Linked DNA regions of Mytilus edulis. The protein of the gene in region 1 purifies or fractionates together with the protein of each later gene. This does not show direct contact. Links are inferred from orthologs where the notes say so. Each region holds a gene or a part of one and is shown on either strand. Other genes may lie near its edges.

Region 1 (8,454 bases):
TCTGTGCAAGATTGTTTGAATTCTTTTACTGTTTTCAGGAAGTTGCAGATTTATAAAGTGTGACCTGAAGGACATCAATGCAAGATAAGAGGATATGCTAAATGCCTCATAAGCTTTTCTGTCAGGCAACACACCAGAAAGTTAGGAACTGCTAACTCTTCTAAAGCACCTGAATTGACTTCAATTTTAATCAATTGGCTTTCTATCACTCTATTTTTTATTTTTTGTGTTGTATTTCTTTAGTGTTCTGTTATTTTCTTGTTCTTTTGACCACTATTAAAATGTGCTGCTTCATTTTAATGACTTGCGTTTTTTTACTGCAGACTTTGTATCTGCAACCTTTTTTGTACTTTCCATTAGGTTGAAGGCCATGGGTTTTAAATGAGAGCAGTTTATTTTTATGTTGGTTTCTACCGCATTGTACTGGACAATTGATATCACACTAAAACAATTATAGTTGAAATATAAAACAAATTACAGGTTTGAAACATATAATAATAATTGAGATTCAAACCGGGGATAAATTGCTGATTGATTAATAAAAGTAACATCATATTGCATTACAGACATAAAGTATTTAGTTCCTGCTTAAATTGTGGCACCCACTGTGTTGCTCTTCAGATGCAAAAATGTGTTCCATGTAATTTTTGTGATTGGCCATATTGACCAGGTAAATTGATAACTTCTTACTTGTCTATGAGTTTACAAATCTCTTTAATTCCAGGCAGTTCACATATGTTAGGAGCTGCCCTCTTCCTTCTTGCATTGAATACTCGGCTAACCTATATGGGAAAACAATCTATATACTATAAATTCAGAAATTATTGGGATGTTTATACTAATGAGAATAATGCGACTAGATGCCTTATGCAATAGTAAGAAGTGGCATTATGATATCATATGCATATGTCTGTACTCTGAAAAAAGTAAAAACACAAAAATACTGAACTCCGAGGAATATTCAAAAAGGAAAGTCCAAAATCAAAGTCCAAACACATCAAACGAATGGATAACAACTGTCATATTCCTGACTTGGTACAGGCATTTTCTAATGTAGAAAATGGTGGATTGAACCTGGTTTTATAGCTAGCTAAACCTCTCACTTGTATGACAGTCACTGAAGGCAACTTTTCATGAATCACAATAATTAATCTTGCATTTTCATTCATTTATAAAAAAAAAATGGCAATAGTAAATGCATGCAATTAGTCATAAAGGTGGATTATTGCATGTGAGGTAAGTATTTTAGGTCATAATAAACAAGACTTTCTAAATTATTTTTTTAACATAATTTGATCATTTGAAACACTTTCTTAAATACGTCATCATTTCTTGCTTAAAATTTTTTAAATCGTAAACAGAGTTTTTTTTCACTGATTGAAATACTTCATATAGTTTCTTGAAATTAGATCAAAGCATTCTTAATCTTTTACACATTATGTGAATATACAGATAGACAATGATTAATAAACATAAAACATCATGTCTATGAAGGGCATTATTGAAATAACATACCTTTGGTTTTGGAAACAGGTGGCACTGTTCTTCTCCTGTATCAGTGAAGCAAAAACCAAGTCCTTGACAGGCTTCATCTGGATTGTATTTTGCTGGTAATCTAAAAATAAGATAACAATAAATTTAGAGTTTATCAATTACCTACATGCCAAATAATTTTGTTTTACAAAATTAGTATAAGGGACAGGGATAAGTACCAATACCATAGGCGGATCCAGGGGGCCCTGATGCCCCCCCCCCCCCCATTGTGGGAAAAATTTGGTTGGTTATATAGGGAATTACTGAAGCATGACTGGAGCAGGCCCTCCCTTATGAAAAGTTCTGGATCCGTCACTGAATACATGTACTATGGAACAAAAAAATCTTCAAAGAATAAACAATGAGTCTACAAAACATACACTCTTTGTGCAACCTGACTAAATTACATGTCAAACAATTTGAAAACTCAAAATTGAAATACAAAGGTTTTCCTACTACCTATAAGGTGTAAATGACCTAGCTTAGTTAGATTTGACAAACTTTAAAAAAAAAAAAAAAAAAAAAAAAAAAAAAGGTTTATAATGGCCTTCAACTTTGTAATTAGGTTAACCTTCTAAATATTTGGTTCAAGTGCCACTATTAGAGATTATATAGACCAGATGCATATCTGGCATACTAGTTTATAAGCCTGGTTTCTTTGATGATATTTTCTCATGAATAATGTCCTCTCTGTAAATCCTGTCACTAGTTACATGGCAATAACAAACATCAGGAGCCTGTAATTCAGTGGTTGTAGTTTGTTTATGTGTTACATATTTGTTTTTCGTTCATTTGTTTACATAAATAAGGCCGTTAGTTTTCTCGTTTGAATTGTTTTACATTGTCTTATCGGGGCCTATAATAGCTGACTATGCGGTATGGGCTTTGCTCATTGTTGAAGGCCGTACAGTGACCTATAGTTGTTAATGTCTGTGTCATTTTGGTCTTTTGTGGATAGTTGTCTCATCGGCAATCATACCACATCTTCTTTTTTATATCTATTTGACCACAAAGCACAGAATATTATGGGGACGAAGTCCCCAATAACAGTAGAAAATTCAATAAAAAAAAAAATTAGGAAAATTTCCCGAATTTTTCATTGTACTAATGAACTCAAAATCGTTCAATTTTTTTTATGTCATGTTTTGAAATCCCGGACCTGCGCAGAAATGTACAATGTACTTCCTTTTTCCGGTCTCGTTTGTATGAAACTTTGAGTAAAATATATATTTATCAGTCTAGTATAAAATAGGAAGGAATGCGCAATACCAATTTCATTTTTAATAATTCCTTGATATGAAAAAATGTTACCTGATGATAGCGTTTCTTTGTTTACATTGCATATGACGTCATGACTTAAATAACGTCACAACTAAAATCCCTAACAAAAGAACCAAAATCGGAAACGTTACGGTATTTCCGTTTCTTTTTCTTAACAAATATATAAATGTAAGTTACAAAAAAATAATTCATACAGACTTCGTCCCCATTTACAGGTAATGCCTGCCTCATATTAATACTTACACACGTATAATCTCATATGCAATGTAGTCTACAAATACTTTACATGGTATTGCAACTGCAGGTGGTAAATAATTGCAGAACCTTTCTAAAGATTTTGTTACTGTTTCATTGTGTATAGTTGCTAGTTGTTCTCCAAATGTAAAAATAACAGTACATGCTGAAAAAAGAACATTTTCATTTTTAAACACATTTAGCTTTACATTTTCATTGTACATCTAACGTCCCCAATCTAGAAAGACAAATTCAAAACACATCGATCTTTTGATTTACTACTTGATGTTAAGCAAGAAATAATAAACCAATCCATCTTCTGTATTTGTACAAGTCTACAGAGATGTTCAGAAAAAAAGAAAAAAAATCACTTTAAGTTTATGTCAATGACTGTCTGACACTAAGATAAATTCAAATACCTTATTTCTGACATATACTTTTATATATATGTGAAATAATTAAATAAGATTGCAAACATGTGAACAATAATCAAGACAACCATTTCTAACAATTGTTCCAAAATAGTCAAATCTTAAAAGTTAGTGTTTGACGATACCTTCTTTCCTTTGATTTTTTTGTTTCAGTAATAAGAGTCTAAGACCTAATTAGACCTTTTTATATGTAGGGTCTTTCTTCATCTTAAAATGCTTATTCTAAATTTTTGCCTTGGCTCCTTCCTGTGACAATAAGGGATAAAAAATAAAAATCGAAAAATACCTTTTAGCAGACAGCATCATTATTATGGGGATGAAGTCCCCTATAACGGTTGAAAAATAATTAAAAAAAAAAAAAAAAAAATCGGGAAAATTTCCCAAATTTTTCATTCTACTTATGAACTCGAAATTGTTAACTTTTTTTTCAGTTTTTTTCAAATCCCTGCATCTGCGCAGAAATCTACTTCCGATTCCGGTCTTGTTTGCATGAGACTTTGAATAAAATATATATTTATCAGTCTAAAAAAGGAAATCAATACTTATTTTTTTTTTTTAATTTGTTTGTTATAAAAAAAACGTTACTTGATGACAGCGTTTCTTTGTTTACATTGAATATGACTTCATAACTTAAATAACGTCACAACTAAAATCCCTAACAACAAAACCTAAATTACGATATTTCCCTTTCTGTTTTTAAAACATTTGTGAATTAAAAAACAATCATACAGACTTTGTCCCCATTCACAGGTAATGCCTGACTATTATTAGGACTACTATTATGTGTGCAAACAACTAGTATAACAAATATTTGTTTTGTCATCAGTATACCATGTAAAATAGAATAAAATAAAGTATATTGAAGAGTTAACAAATAAGTTAATTCTATCAGTTTACAAAAGTACTAAAACAGACTTTGTCCTCTATCAGATAATAGCTGTCTAGACAGATATGTAACTGCTGTAGTAAAATAATCTGACCCACTGTGCAATACTATATCATAAATGAGTATCTAATTATCAATTGAAACTTACTGGCACAGTTGGTACCACCATTCGCGCCGAAATTTAGAAAGTTTCTCGATCTAGATGCTTCTGAACCATATAAGCATATAACAAAAACAAGGACAACGGCAACTGCTTTCCCAAGTGACATTTCTTTGGATTTTTTTAACACCTTCTGCAAAGTCACATGACCACCACGTGACACCAATTTCAAAGATCACTTACGAAAACGCATTGTAGATCGAGATCAAAATATTTGAATTTTCTCGCAGATGTTCGAGATTTCACGTTGTTTTGTACCGCCAAATTTGAATTGGAATGGCTAATGTTACCGAAAATATTTGAACATAAACAGAATTTGTATTTATAATGGACCCGTATACAGAGGTAAGTAAAAACTACAGAACTGAAAAGTAATGAAATTTGTATTGTCTTAGTTGTGAACATCACACAACTCACCAAATGAAAAATATTGACCAGACGAGGCGTTGTTTTGAATATTTGATCATATTTGCATTGTTGAAAATTCAAAATAAATAACATGTGCATGGTTGGATCTAGCTATTTTTAAAAGTGGGGTTCCAACCCAGGAGGAAGGATGAGAGGGTGGGGGTTCAATCATATGTCCCTATTATTATTAAAATCCATTGATCATCCAAAAAAAGGGGGGTGTCCACCTGGAAACCCTCCCCTCCCGCTGGATCTGCCACTGATGAGTATGATTTGTCTGTAAACATGATAAGTCAAACTTATTTCAAATTCCACCTAATAACGAATGCCAGAATTTAATCTTAAATTTGAATAACCTTATAGTTATATGGACTGGAGGGGTGTTCATTTAATAGTAGACAAATTACTCGTCATTAGTCATCACTCACTCTTTAGTCTAGACAAGTTTAGTAGATTTACAGGGGGTCTGTCTTATCCAGCTTATATCATTGTAATGATTACGCTTGTAATTTCAAGTTTCGTGCTTGACATGTTTTCTGTGTCAATGCTTTCAAACAATCTGTCAATCCTGCATCATGCTATATGCTATTGTTGTGATCCCGAGTATAACTCAAGACCGATATATACCTTGGATGGTCGTTCCTGCAGTCAGGAACGGCCGATTGCTGTTCTAGTGAATTCGTCTGCTGTATAGCCATTAATAGTTTCAACCGGAAGAGAATGGTTTCTGGGTAGTCCTTCGGACATCTCTAGATGGTCTGTCTGATGACCTAAAACTAACCCTCCGGATACTACACTATATTTTTTTATAGACTCCTATCAGACTCACTTAACTTTGCTTTCAGGATTTGGAGGTCTGGCACCTTTTTTGTGTGCCCAATCCATGTAGAATCACTTTCATCTACATGTACATAATTTTTTTGAGACCTTTGAAGAATCAGGATTTGTCTCTATAAATGATAGCCAAAAATGAAGGTTTGATGCTTGACGAGAAAGGCCATTACTACCCTCTTAATTGGTGCTTTCTCTCCAAATGAATAACATCTAGAATTGGTATCTTGTAATATGTTTTAACAATAAATGAATATGTCTGTTTAATTTTGATGCTTCACAACAGAAAATAATGTTAAAGCTTGAAACTATTAATTAAGGTAAACTTATTTCTTCTTTCAGCAACTTCTAGAGAGGACGAGACAGAGAAGAGAGATGTTGAATCAGAAAATGGGGAAAACCCCTGAAGTAACACCTAGAAAAAGATTCCTGCAGGATAATACCACAGACAATTTACCACAATCTGATACTAAAACTCTCATGAAAGAAGGTATTTAAATTGTTATATGATACAAGTAGTATTGGTAGTTAAATATTTTAACTCATGTACAAGTATGTCATGCAAATATACACAAAAAACCTACATGCTTGTTTTCTTTCTACTGGCTGCAGATGAATAGGATAGGTTGGTACATAGTAGGTAAAATGTTTTCTTTTCTTCAATAATTTGCGTTTGAAATATTGGGAAATTTCAAATGTTTTGGGCGTAACCAAAAATGTACATAAAATTTGTCTGGGAAGTAAGGAGACATATCAAGCAGAAACAGAACTATAAGTTAACATGTATAGTTTTAAGGGAAACCAATTTGCAGTTTTTAATAGATGTACATATATATCTTGACATATGCATATCTAGAAAACTGGGTTAAAGATATGAATATATTTCATGGTATCTGGCCAAATTAATTTTGACTTTACTGTCACAGTGTTTTAAAGTGACATGCTGAATCACTGTGTCTACATGTATATGTCATTGTAGTGGTCATTTCAGTTCACTCTGTTTAACTGTCATGGAGATTTGTAGGGAATTGCAGAATCACTTTGTAATGTACAAAGGAAAACAAGAAGGTAGATAAATAGAATATTTAAATTGTATGAAACTTTGTACTTTTAAATATGCAAAAGAATTTATAATTGGGTTAATGTTGTGTTACAAATTTTTAATACCACTATTTCACAGTAACCATATTTTTTTCAGCATCCCCTGGCAAGAGACAGTGTGTGAGAGAAGATGAAATCAATATAAAGCCAGACACACCAGCTATTAGTAGTGTGAGATCTAGAATGCATAATTTGACACAACAGAGAACCGATTGGTCTTCAGGAGGTATGAAATAATCTTGTACACAATTTGCATTTCTTTGTAAAAATTAACATCATAAAAGTAGCTCAAAAGATAAGAAAAAAACATCAACCTGATTTGTGCAAATATTACATTATGTACATTAAATGAACAGTTATGACAGACTGCAAGTAATAACCACAGGAGTACTGTACAGATTTCTGATTTGATCAGGCCTAAATGTGGAGGAGCCAGGGTAATGCATGTTTGTGGGCACACCATGTCATAATCCCTTTTGAAATTTAGCTTCCATTCCATATTGTTTGAAGAATCGTTGCCTCTAACACAGGCAACAATAAAGATCAGCTAACGATTTTCACCCAAAAAATCTTACAGAAAAATATGTTCGACTTTAAATGTAATTAAATAGTAAAACAAATATTGGTCCAAGCCAAAAAAAAATCTATAAATGATTCCTCCCCACCCAAGATAAAAGCTAAAAAGAGTCCATCTGTTAAATTAAGAAAATGAAAGTTGTAATTAAAATGTTGGCATAATTTTGAATTTAGATGGAACAGATTCTGACAATTCACATCCTAAACCAGTTCCTAGGAAGTCTTTACAGAATTCCTTAGAGGAGGAAGTAGAACCTCCTAAAGTAGAAGGACAAAGGAGAGGGCGACTAGCTAACTTAGCCGCCACAATAAACAACTGGGAGGATGATCTTAGTCATCCCACAATTCCGTAAGTAATGATTTTATGTCTAGTGGCAGTGCTTTCAGAGAACCATATACAATTAATACAGCATTTATGCAATTCTTAGATGGTTTTCATACCTGCACTTTTAATATACATGTATTTGAATAACAAAAAATAAAGTTTTGTCTTTCCACATATTCCAGTCAAATGAAAGCAGGTCATTTATAGAATTTGACATTGATGTCATTTCTTTGATAGTTTCTGTTTTATTGAGTCAGAACTTTTTTTCTTTTTTTATAATTAAGAGCTTGATATATTGTATTGACACCATATATGTATTTGAAGACTATGTTGACCTCTTGATGTACATGTATGTTTAATAAATAATTCCTTCATGTCGTGCTCTATGCTCATTTTAACATGGGTAGGCATTATATTTGTCGATATTTTACACTGAGCGTTATCAGGGTGTAAAATGTGGTCAAATATAATGCCTACTCATGTTAAAAATAGCCTAGAGCATGACAATGAGGAATTATTTCGATTCTAATAGGACAAATATACTTTTATAAGTCGAAGCGTATGAAATTACCGTAAAAATGTTCGGCTGTTCTCATTTCCTCCTGTGCATTGCATTTCATATTTGATAAGTTTAAAAGCTACGAGCAGGGTAAATATATGTTGTTTCATAAAAAAAATATAATAAGAG
Region 2 (8,304 bases), about 54 Mb from region 1:
CTTTGAGCTTCAAATTATATTATTTTGAAAAAAGTTGTCAATTTATCTGATTACAATAACAACCTTCTCAGATTCACTGAAATGATGACAAGTAGCAATTTAATGGAAAACCATACTTAGAATTTGAAAATTTAGAATGTAAAAAGTTCAGTCACAGAACATAAATTAGTTTGCACATTTTAAAAGATACAAAGAAACATAGAAAGTTAGTTTTTAGTGAGTTTTTTGGTGCATTAGATAATGAAACCCATCATTTTCCATGTAGATTTAAATTTTAATGGTTATATACATCTCAGTGATTATGGACTTTAAATTTTTAAATAAATATTTAAACTTTTTAGACAGCTCTTTGATCAGTAAAGAATCTAATAGGTTATTTTAGTTATATAATTGACTAGCATGGGTAGCAATAAAATAAGTGTTCATTGAAATAAATAACACTATACATGTCTGGTTAGGTGACGTCCTATTGTTCTGCGACACCAGATAGATAGCATTTTATTTATGTTTTATGTCACTATTGTAAATAGGTAGTAATTTTTTATCACCTGGACTCTACAAGGAGTCGAGATTCCCTTCGAATACACACTGGAAGTAAATAGCTGGATGTGAATTATTGCCGAAATAAATGCTTCCTGACTGATGAATGTGCTTACTGTTTTTAGACTGTTTGATGTAAATTAAAATTTGAGGGTGTAGATTTCCTTCGAGATAAAAACGCTGTTATATACTGCTGCTTTGTGTGTAAGAGATTATAGTGTTTAGGAGTAATAGAAATGTCGCAGGTTATAGAAAATCTGCAGATTTCCGAACCAGAGGTTAGTATACATTGATAATTACATATAACAATGTTAATTAGATAAAATTGTATCAATTTCATATTTTTCTTATTAGTCATTTTCACAGTAAATCATGTTACATCTATTAAACTGATGCAGCGTTCAATGTTTCTGATAAAACTATCAGATATTCTGTTGCCAGATATTTTTTTGCCAAATCTTTTCAGAAATGTCAGAATTTTATGTTAATAGTTAGCAATTAATTACGGTTATGAGGTGATCACTTGTTTTGCATTAATGCTTTGTTTTTGTTCATTGGCTTTGTTTCGTGCTTCCTTCGGTTATTATTTTTCTTTGGTTATGATCAGAGTGTGCAATAGTACTTAAAAACTATGATTGTGTAATTAGCTGTTAATTAACAAATATATGATTTTGATGTCATATTTAAAGTCCTTTACTAGGAACCAGTTATAGACCTATGGTCAAACTTAAAGTACATGTATTATAGGATTTATAAGACAGATTATTTAGAGTAATAGAGATCTTTATTGCCATTTTTGGTGTCTTTCACAGACCCTGCACTGCAGGCATTTTTCATAAAGGAGCACAAAGATGTGAAGGCATTCTCACAGATCACCAGAAACTTGTCATTATGAGAATACATGTATTGTTGTAGTACAAAAATGTATGCAAAAAAACCCTGAATTTTTCACAAAATTTAATCTATAGCTTGATATTAGCAGAGTTGTTAATTACTGATTGGACCAGTCAGAATTTCCCCCATGATTTTTTGGTTAGCACCAGGGTAAATTTGGGAACAAAGAAATTGAGATACTTGTGATTAAAGCACCTTGGGTCAGAAATGTGGGACAGCTTGTTAACTGTGCATTACATTTAAGGGCCTTGGTAGACTTGTTTTCTGCCAGTTTTAAGGCTGTTGGTCTCATTCTTTTAAAAGAACATAATTGTGAGTTTCACTGGAAAAATAATAGTTATGGTATGTAATGATACCTAGGCCTATTTACATGTATGTTCGGCTATTTTTGGAAGGTTTTCTTGGGCGTTTGTTCACTTTGTTAAAACACTGAAGGCTTGCACATTCTTCAAAAATCTAGATATGAATTCTACACACATAGTGAGGTATATTCAGAAGTAAAAGTTTAATAAATTTGAGCTCCACCCTGAAAAAGGCAGCTGTTTAAGATCTATCTTTGTCTAAGCTTGTCAGTAAAATCTGTCTGTTTTAGAAGCCTCATGTTTCATAATCAAAATCTGTATAGACATCTGTTACAGCATATTGCTTGTTCTGTGGATGTTTACTTCTTATCTAGAGTTTTGACTACTTATCTTCAAGTATTCCAGAATCGTGTGCACAGAATTAAAGTTGTTAATCGATGCATGATGGCAATTAAAATAGTAAGAACAACCCCTGCATCAGTCATAATGATAACTGAAAGAGTAGACATCTGTGAAGCTTTTTCTACATGTACATTGAAGGTGTAACAAGGTAGACCCAGAATTAAAAAAACAACCCCTGCGTCGGTCATAATGATAACTGAAGGAGTAGACATCTGTGAAGCTTTTTCTACATGTACATGTACATTGTAGGTGTAACAAGGTAGACCCAGAATTTTTCAAAAAGGACTAAACAAAAAGTGAAATTTCCAATATTTTTTAATTTACACGATATGAACTATTTATTTTGCTCCTGGATATCCTCTCAGAAAGCGTAGTTCTAAGTGTGCACTATAAACATGATGGAAATAAGGATGTTATCATAAACTTTAGAAAAGACAGTTTTTATAACTTCAGGAAGTATGACTTATAAAAAAGCAATATTCAACACTTTGAAGCTACTTCATTCCTTTTGATAAGTTTATAAAAAATAAATCAGGAAGGCATAGATGTAAATGACAGTTATGATATTAAGTCTGCATCAAAGAAATGTAATTTTTTGGTTGATTGGTTGCTGTTACAATCATATTTTCCACATATTTATATTTCATTCATGCCTGAAATTATAATTTACAGAGATTTTATACTATTTACTGAATAATCTGAACCTATTATTAGAAGGACAACAGACATAACTTGACCCGTACTTTGTCCCCTTTTCTTCAATGGTGAGGTGAAGCATCTAATGGAGATTTTGTTTAAAAGGTGTCTTCATTACCTATAATTCCAAATTGAAAATAAACACCGCTGAGTGAAAGCACACCTTTAACAATAAGTAATTTAAATGTAAATACCGGTAGACCTACCTGTAGTTTACAATATAATATACTAACAATTATGTTAAGTATTTCTGTAAGCGGATAAAAAAAATTATGCTGACAGAATGAGACGCATGTATAATTACTGAAGTGGAATTAAGCTCATTTATACCTTTCATTACATGTAACTAATACCACATCTTCAGATTGTCATTAGGAAATATATCTTAGTTGACATGCATTCCATCAGCCCACTAAATAACTGTCAAATCTGTCAAGTCTGGAGACATTGCAGGATATGATGACAATAAATAAAGTTTGACAGATTTTTAATTTTGAAAAAAATGTACAGTAGGCTCAATTATAATAAATATATGAAAGTGAGTAAATGATTGCAAAATGCAAGAATGTCAAGACTCCATGTTGGAGACGATACTTTGACCTATACTGGTTTACTTTTACAAAATGTGACGCCTCATTGGCACTCATACCACATCTTCTTATATCTAAGATAGTTTATATGTATTTACTCCTTTAATGTAAATGGATATTCTACATTTACCATGCTTTACCATAAAATAAGGTCAAATTGCTGAAAGACCTACTGAATCTATCATTTTGCTATAATTATAATGTTATGTTGTAAATTAAGTTCACCCAATGGGCCTAACATCCTTACAAGTGTATCTAATACACATGTAATAGCAATTAGTGAATGAAAATTCAAAAACAGGAAGCACATATTTTCTTCCTTACAATCACGAATATAAAGTTTTTGTAATCATTCAAGGTGTTGTTCTGTCTTTTAAAATAGAACAGATTCTATCTTCTTAGAATTGGACATGATTTGAATCCCAAATTTTCAAAATTTACTGCTGTCACATAAAATCTGGAACTCTCACATAAAATCAGGAAAGGTTCAAATTATTTGTAGGTCCTTGGGGGTGGATCCAGCCATTTTCAAAAGTGGGTTCCAACTAAATGTCCCCATTCAAATGCATTTATCGTCCAAAAAAAGCAAGTTTACAACCCTCTTCTGGATCCGCCACTGGTCCTATTTGAGTCGGTATGTAGTGCTTATTGTCATCTGTCAAACTTCAAGTTGTTGGTAGTTTTAATGGGAAGGAGTTGTAGTTATTTTAAACATATTGATCCAAGATTAATCTGTGATGAAGTTGTAACCAGCAAAGAACAAATCAAGATATAAACTATCTCAGATCAGTTAAACGGGTGTAGTGACCTCAATTTCATGGTTCAATGGATATAAGTATGAAGTTTGTAAACCGTAAAGGTCTGGGTTTAAATACTATTATTGTGATTGTTATACATGTATATTCAAATGTTATTGAAAAATTAACGATAGAAAAAAGATCTTTAAGTCTTTAAAGTTAGAAAAAGGGGGTAAAAATAGAACCAATCAATTAGTTGTGAAATGTAGTTGTGTGTTTAATTTGTGTGTGTGATTATGGTTGAAAGTAGAGAAAATGTGAATTCTACTACTGTGATGTTAACATCTGTCATCCTTACATCAGTCACAACAGTTGTATTAAATTCAATAAAAAAGAAATTTATGTTTAAAATAAGGACTTTCTTGAATTTAACTTAATGCAGTGTTATTCTGGTAGAAAGAGTCTTTTAGTTGTAGCTGTATCCATCTTGTATTTTTACTTGGTAAAAAGTAGATTATATAAGACTTAAATACTTCAATGAATAATTGTTTGAATATGAATAAATAAAAATTTGATTTTTTGTTTGTCGATATTAAAAGCAGATCGGGTGGTTATAAACACCTGGATATAACACAAAGAAACAGCTGTTTGTCTGTAAATATAAATCCAACAAAATATTCCATATTTATTTAGGTCCTAAGTTTTATCACAAGTGTGGGTATAAACTCACAAAATACATAAAAGTCTTGTATAAATGTTTTTTTGGCTGATCAGACAAGATTAGCATTGGATCAATGGTGCAAGGACAAATTAATTGTTGTATTTAAATGTTAATTATCAGCTCACCAAGTGTGGATCAAAATTATTGATCCTTTCTAAAGTTAGTACAATCATCTCCGCCCAATTTGGACAACAATCAGACCGTCGGAACACAACAATGATTAAAATCTGTGCTCTTTATAAATACCAGTAATTGTTTCTTTACCGTACATATTGTCACAAATAATATCCATTGTCAGGATTTAACCGTATGAAATAAAGTTGAAGATTTTTTAAAGATTTAAAAAGTCAAGATCCATTTTTTATGTTGATCAATAGTTGTATGGATATCTGATGTTTGTCTCATGTTTACACTGTGCCAGAGGAAATAACTTCTGTTTGAGGGATACACATCCTGTGTATGTAGAGAAAGTCTGTTTGTTATCAATCAGTCGTATGTGTGTATGATGTAGATTTATCTGCACTCACCAGGAGATTAAATTTCACCTCAAACTTTTAGGAGGAGGAATATTTTGGCAGTGTATAAGGTGCCTCTGTCTAAATTTTAATGACTTTTACATGTGCTAGGCGTTAATTAGACTTCACAACAGTTTGTGTGTTTTAATTTAGGATTTCCTTGATTATTGTTTGTGATCTATTTTCAACATCTGGATTGAGTATTGCTAGTGTGTTGAAGTAATTAATTTCCACTTTGATGAACTTCTGACAAACAACATGGCTGCCAGTACACCTATGACACAATCAGGCACAGGTAGAGGACCAGCTCCACCCCTTCCAGAGAAACCTCCTTCAGTGGCGGAGAGGACTAGACTTCTAAAATCAAGTTTTCGCAAGGATGATGTTGATAAACCGAAAGTTGTATGTTCAAGTCCAATAGTAGAAAGAGCAGCAACACTACCACATAGTCATGAGACAAATGGGGATAAATCTGAGACTCCTTCTCCTGCTAGTAGTGTGGGGTCCATGACTGGTGTAGGGGTTAAGGCCTCCACTCCGGACTCAGTCAAGGACTTGCCACCAAAGCCGGCAGTAAGTCCACCAGCTGTATGTATATTCGTTTGTCTTGTCTTTAACTGTGCATGTTCTCATATACATTCAGGCAAAGGGTGGGTACCAGGGTATGAAGTACATATGTATCTTCAGACTTATTTCTATTTGAATGTGCACATGTGTTTCTTTTCTCTTCTTCATATTTTCTGAAAAGAGCCAGTTTTACCTGCAGTTATTTTAATTATATACCTCCGTGTGCATTTTAATTTCACTGTGAATTCATTGTATTTTAATAATGTTTTCTTGTTTTGTTTTGTTTTTTTGGCTGCAAAGGTTTACAAATACTATATTGTCTAAAGAAAATTAGAGTATTAATACAATGTAGATTTAATCCCATTTAAATGCATTCCTTTGTTACTATCCCTAAACCACATGTTGTAGGGCAATTGAAAGGTGACTCATACCTTTTATGTCATTTAAGAATGCAATTTTATAAGTGTTCGCTAATAATATTAACTTTGCTTAAAAAAAATCATGATACACACGATCTAGGTGTAAATAATTTGATCTTAACTGTGTGCAAGATGTTTTCTAGATCTTGAGGGAAGATATATACCCAACTTTGTTTACTTATCTCAGTGGTCAGTATACAAAACCAATTACCAAGTAGCCTCAGTGTTTATAGACATCAGATAAGTGTTTATTGGTTTAAGATTATTGTTAATGGTCAATTATAAGGGCTACTGTTATCGAAAGGTGTAACTGATATACAAATCTTTGACCTTCTTCTCTCATGTATTCCAATACAGCAACATGCATGGGTCTTGATTGAATTCTTCCTTTCTGTTAAATCTTAAATCATGATTAATCAAGTTAATCTTTTCTACCTTTAGACAGTTGTAAGTTAATCTATGATGGATTTGGCCACTATCATGACCATGGACTTCACATGTGCACCATTCATTCAAGTGTTCAACTAAATATAAACTTTCTATATTTGCAGAATTTCAGCACTAATACAAATTAAAGTATCTAAGGAAACTTCTTTATCTGCAAAACCTTGTACTGAAGAACTTAGGTCTTCTTTTTTCTTTAGGAGTCCTTACCCATATACATGCAGAGCTTTACTACCAGGTGAACTATCCTTCATCCTAAACTTTACCCTAATCCTATCCCTAAACCTGACCTAGAAAATCCCTTAACCTAACTAAACTTTACCCGAATCCTATCCCTAAACCTAACCTAAAAAATCCCTTAACCTAACTAAACTTTACCCTAATCCTATCCCTAAACCTGACCTAGAAAATCCCTTAACCTAACTAAACTTTACCCGAATCCTATCCCTAAACCTAACCTAAAAAATCCCTTAACCTAACTAAACTTTACCCTAATCCTATCCCTAAACCTGACCTAGAAAATCCCTTAACTTAACTATAACCACAAATGACCTAGAAGTAAAATAAGGCCACAAAAAAAAAAAAAAAAACACTAAAAATTTCTACCAATCATTGACACCTTTGCCATCCTTCCAACATTCTCTCCCTCTCCCTCTCTCTCCATCCCTCATTTTAGTATCTCTTATCCCTGTTATATTGAAATGATTGTAGATGCCAAAATATTACCAAAATCTACTTCATTGTCAGGTTTTACAAAAGTCGTTTAATTACGTACAAACAAATGATGCTTCTCATCTTCTGGAACTACAAATGACTAAAGAAAGACAACAGTATGAGCTAACTATTGAGGTATGATGTGTGGTTGGAAACCAGTTTAGGAGTAACAGTTCCCATCATTGTGTACTTTTTATAAACCTCTTCGTCCCCAGACTTCATGATTTGTGGTTGTAAACCAGTTTGGTAGTGACAGTTTCCTATCATCATGTATAAACCCCTTCGTCCCTAGACTTACTCCAAAATTTCAGTTTAACACACACTTTGATGTCCTTATGCACATGTTTGCTATGCACTGTCTCTTTATGTTATTGTCCTTATAAGAGTCTAAATATCGTATAATATAGTATTACTTTCTATCGACTATTTGAATACTGGCCCAAGTACTGTTAGTATTCAATATGAAATATTGTTGATTGAAAAGAGGATAAAAGAGGGAATTGTTGTTATGAAAGTCTAAATATAGTATGACTTTCGATTGACTGTTTGAATACTGGCCTAAACATTAAAACAAGGATAAAGTAAGGAATTGCGTAACAGATTAGGAATTTATTGAATAAAAACTTTTGATTTGTTTGCATGGGAGTTGTATTTTGCAGACAAGAGACAATACCTGAAAGTCTAGCCCAATCTTCACTGACCTATAACAATCTTTAAGTCTGGTGTATTATTTTCCTTAATATGCATATTACTGATAATCACT

The links. Proteins that work in one complex are often made in the same cells at the same time.
Region 2: the proteins of anillin-like (region 1) and septin-7-like purify together in Drosophila melanogaster (affinity purification with western blotting; 3 studies listed by BioGRID, with this or other methods). This does not show direct contact. The link is inferred for Mytilus edulis from reciprocal best matches to the Drosophila melanogaster genes scra and pnut.

The regions. Positions count from the first base shown.
Region 1 is NC_092348.1:40,060,655-40,069,108, reverse strand, and holds the start of anillin-like, read left to right. Parts: upstream 1-4,727; 5' UTR 4,728-4,852; coding exon 4,853-4,870; intron 4,871-6,106; coding exon 6,107-6,254; intron 6,255-6,962; coding exon 6,963-7,091; intron 7,092-7,615; coding exon 7,616-7,790; intron 7,791-8,454. Other genes in the region: acyloxyacyl hydrolase-like, read right to left, coding at 691-782, 1,516-1,615, 3,058-3,214, 4,514-4,634. UniProt on the Drosophila melanogaster protein: Required for cytokinesis. Essential for the structural integrity of the cleavage furrow and for completion of cleavage furrow ingression and proper formation of the midbody.
Region 2 is NC_092348.1:93,784,302-93,792,605, reverse strand, and holds the start of septin-7-like, read left to right. Parts: upstream 1-4,852; 5' UTR 4,853-5,655; coding exon 5,656-5,985; intron 5,986-8,304. UniProt on the Drosophila melanogaster protein: Involved in cytokinesis and possibly cellularization. Also acts as an enhancer of the sina gene, thus having a role in photoreceptor development. May be involved in p53-dependent apoptosis.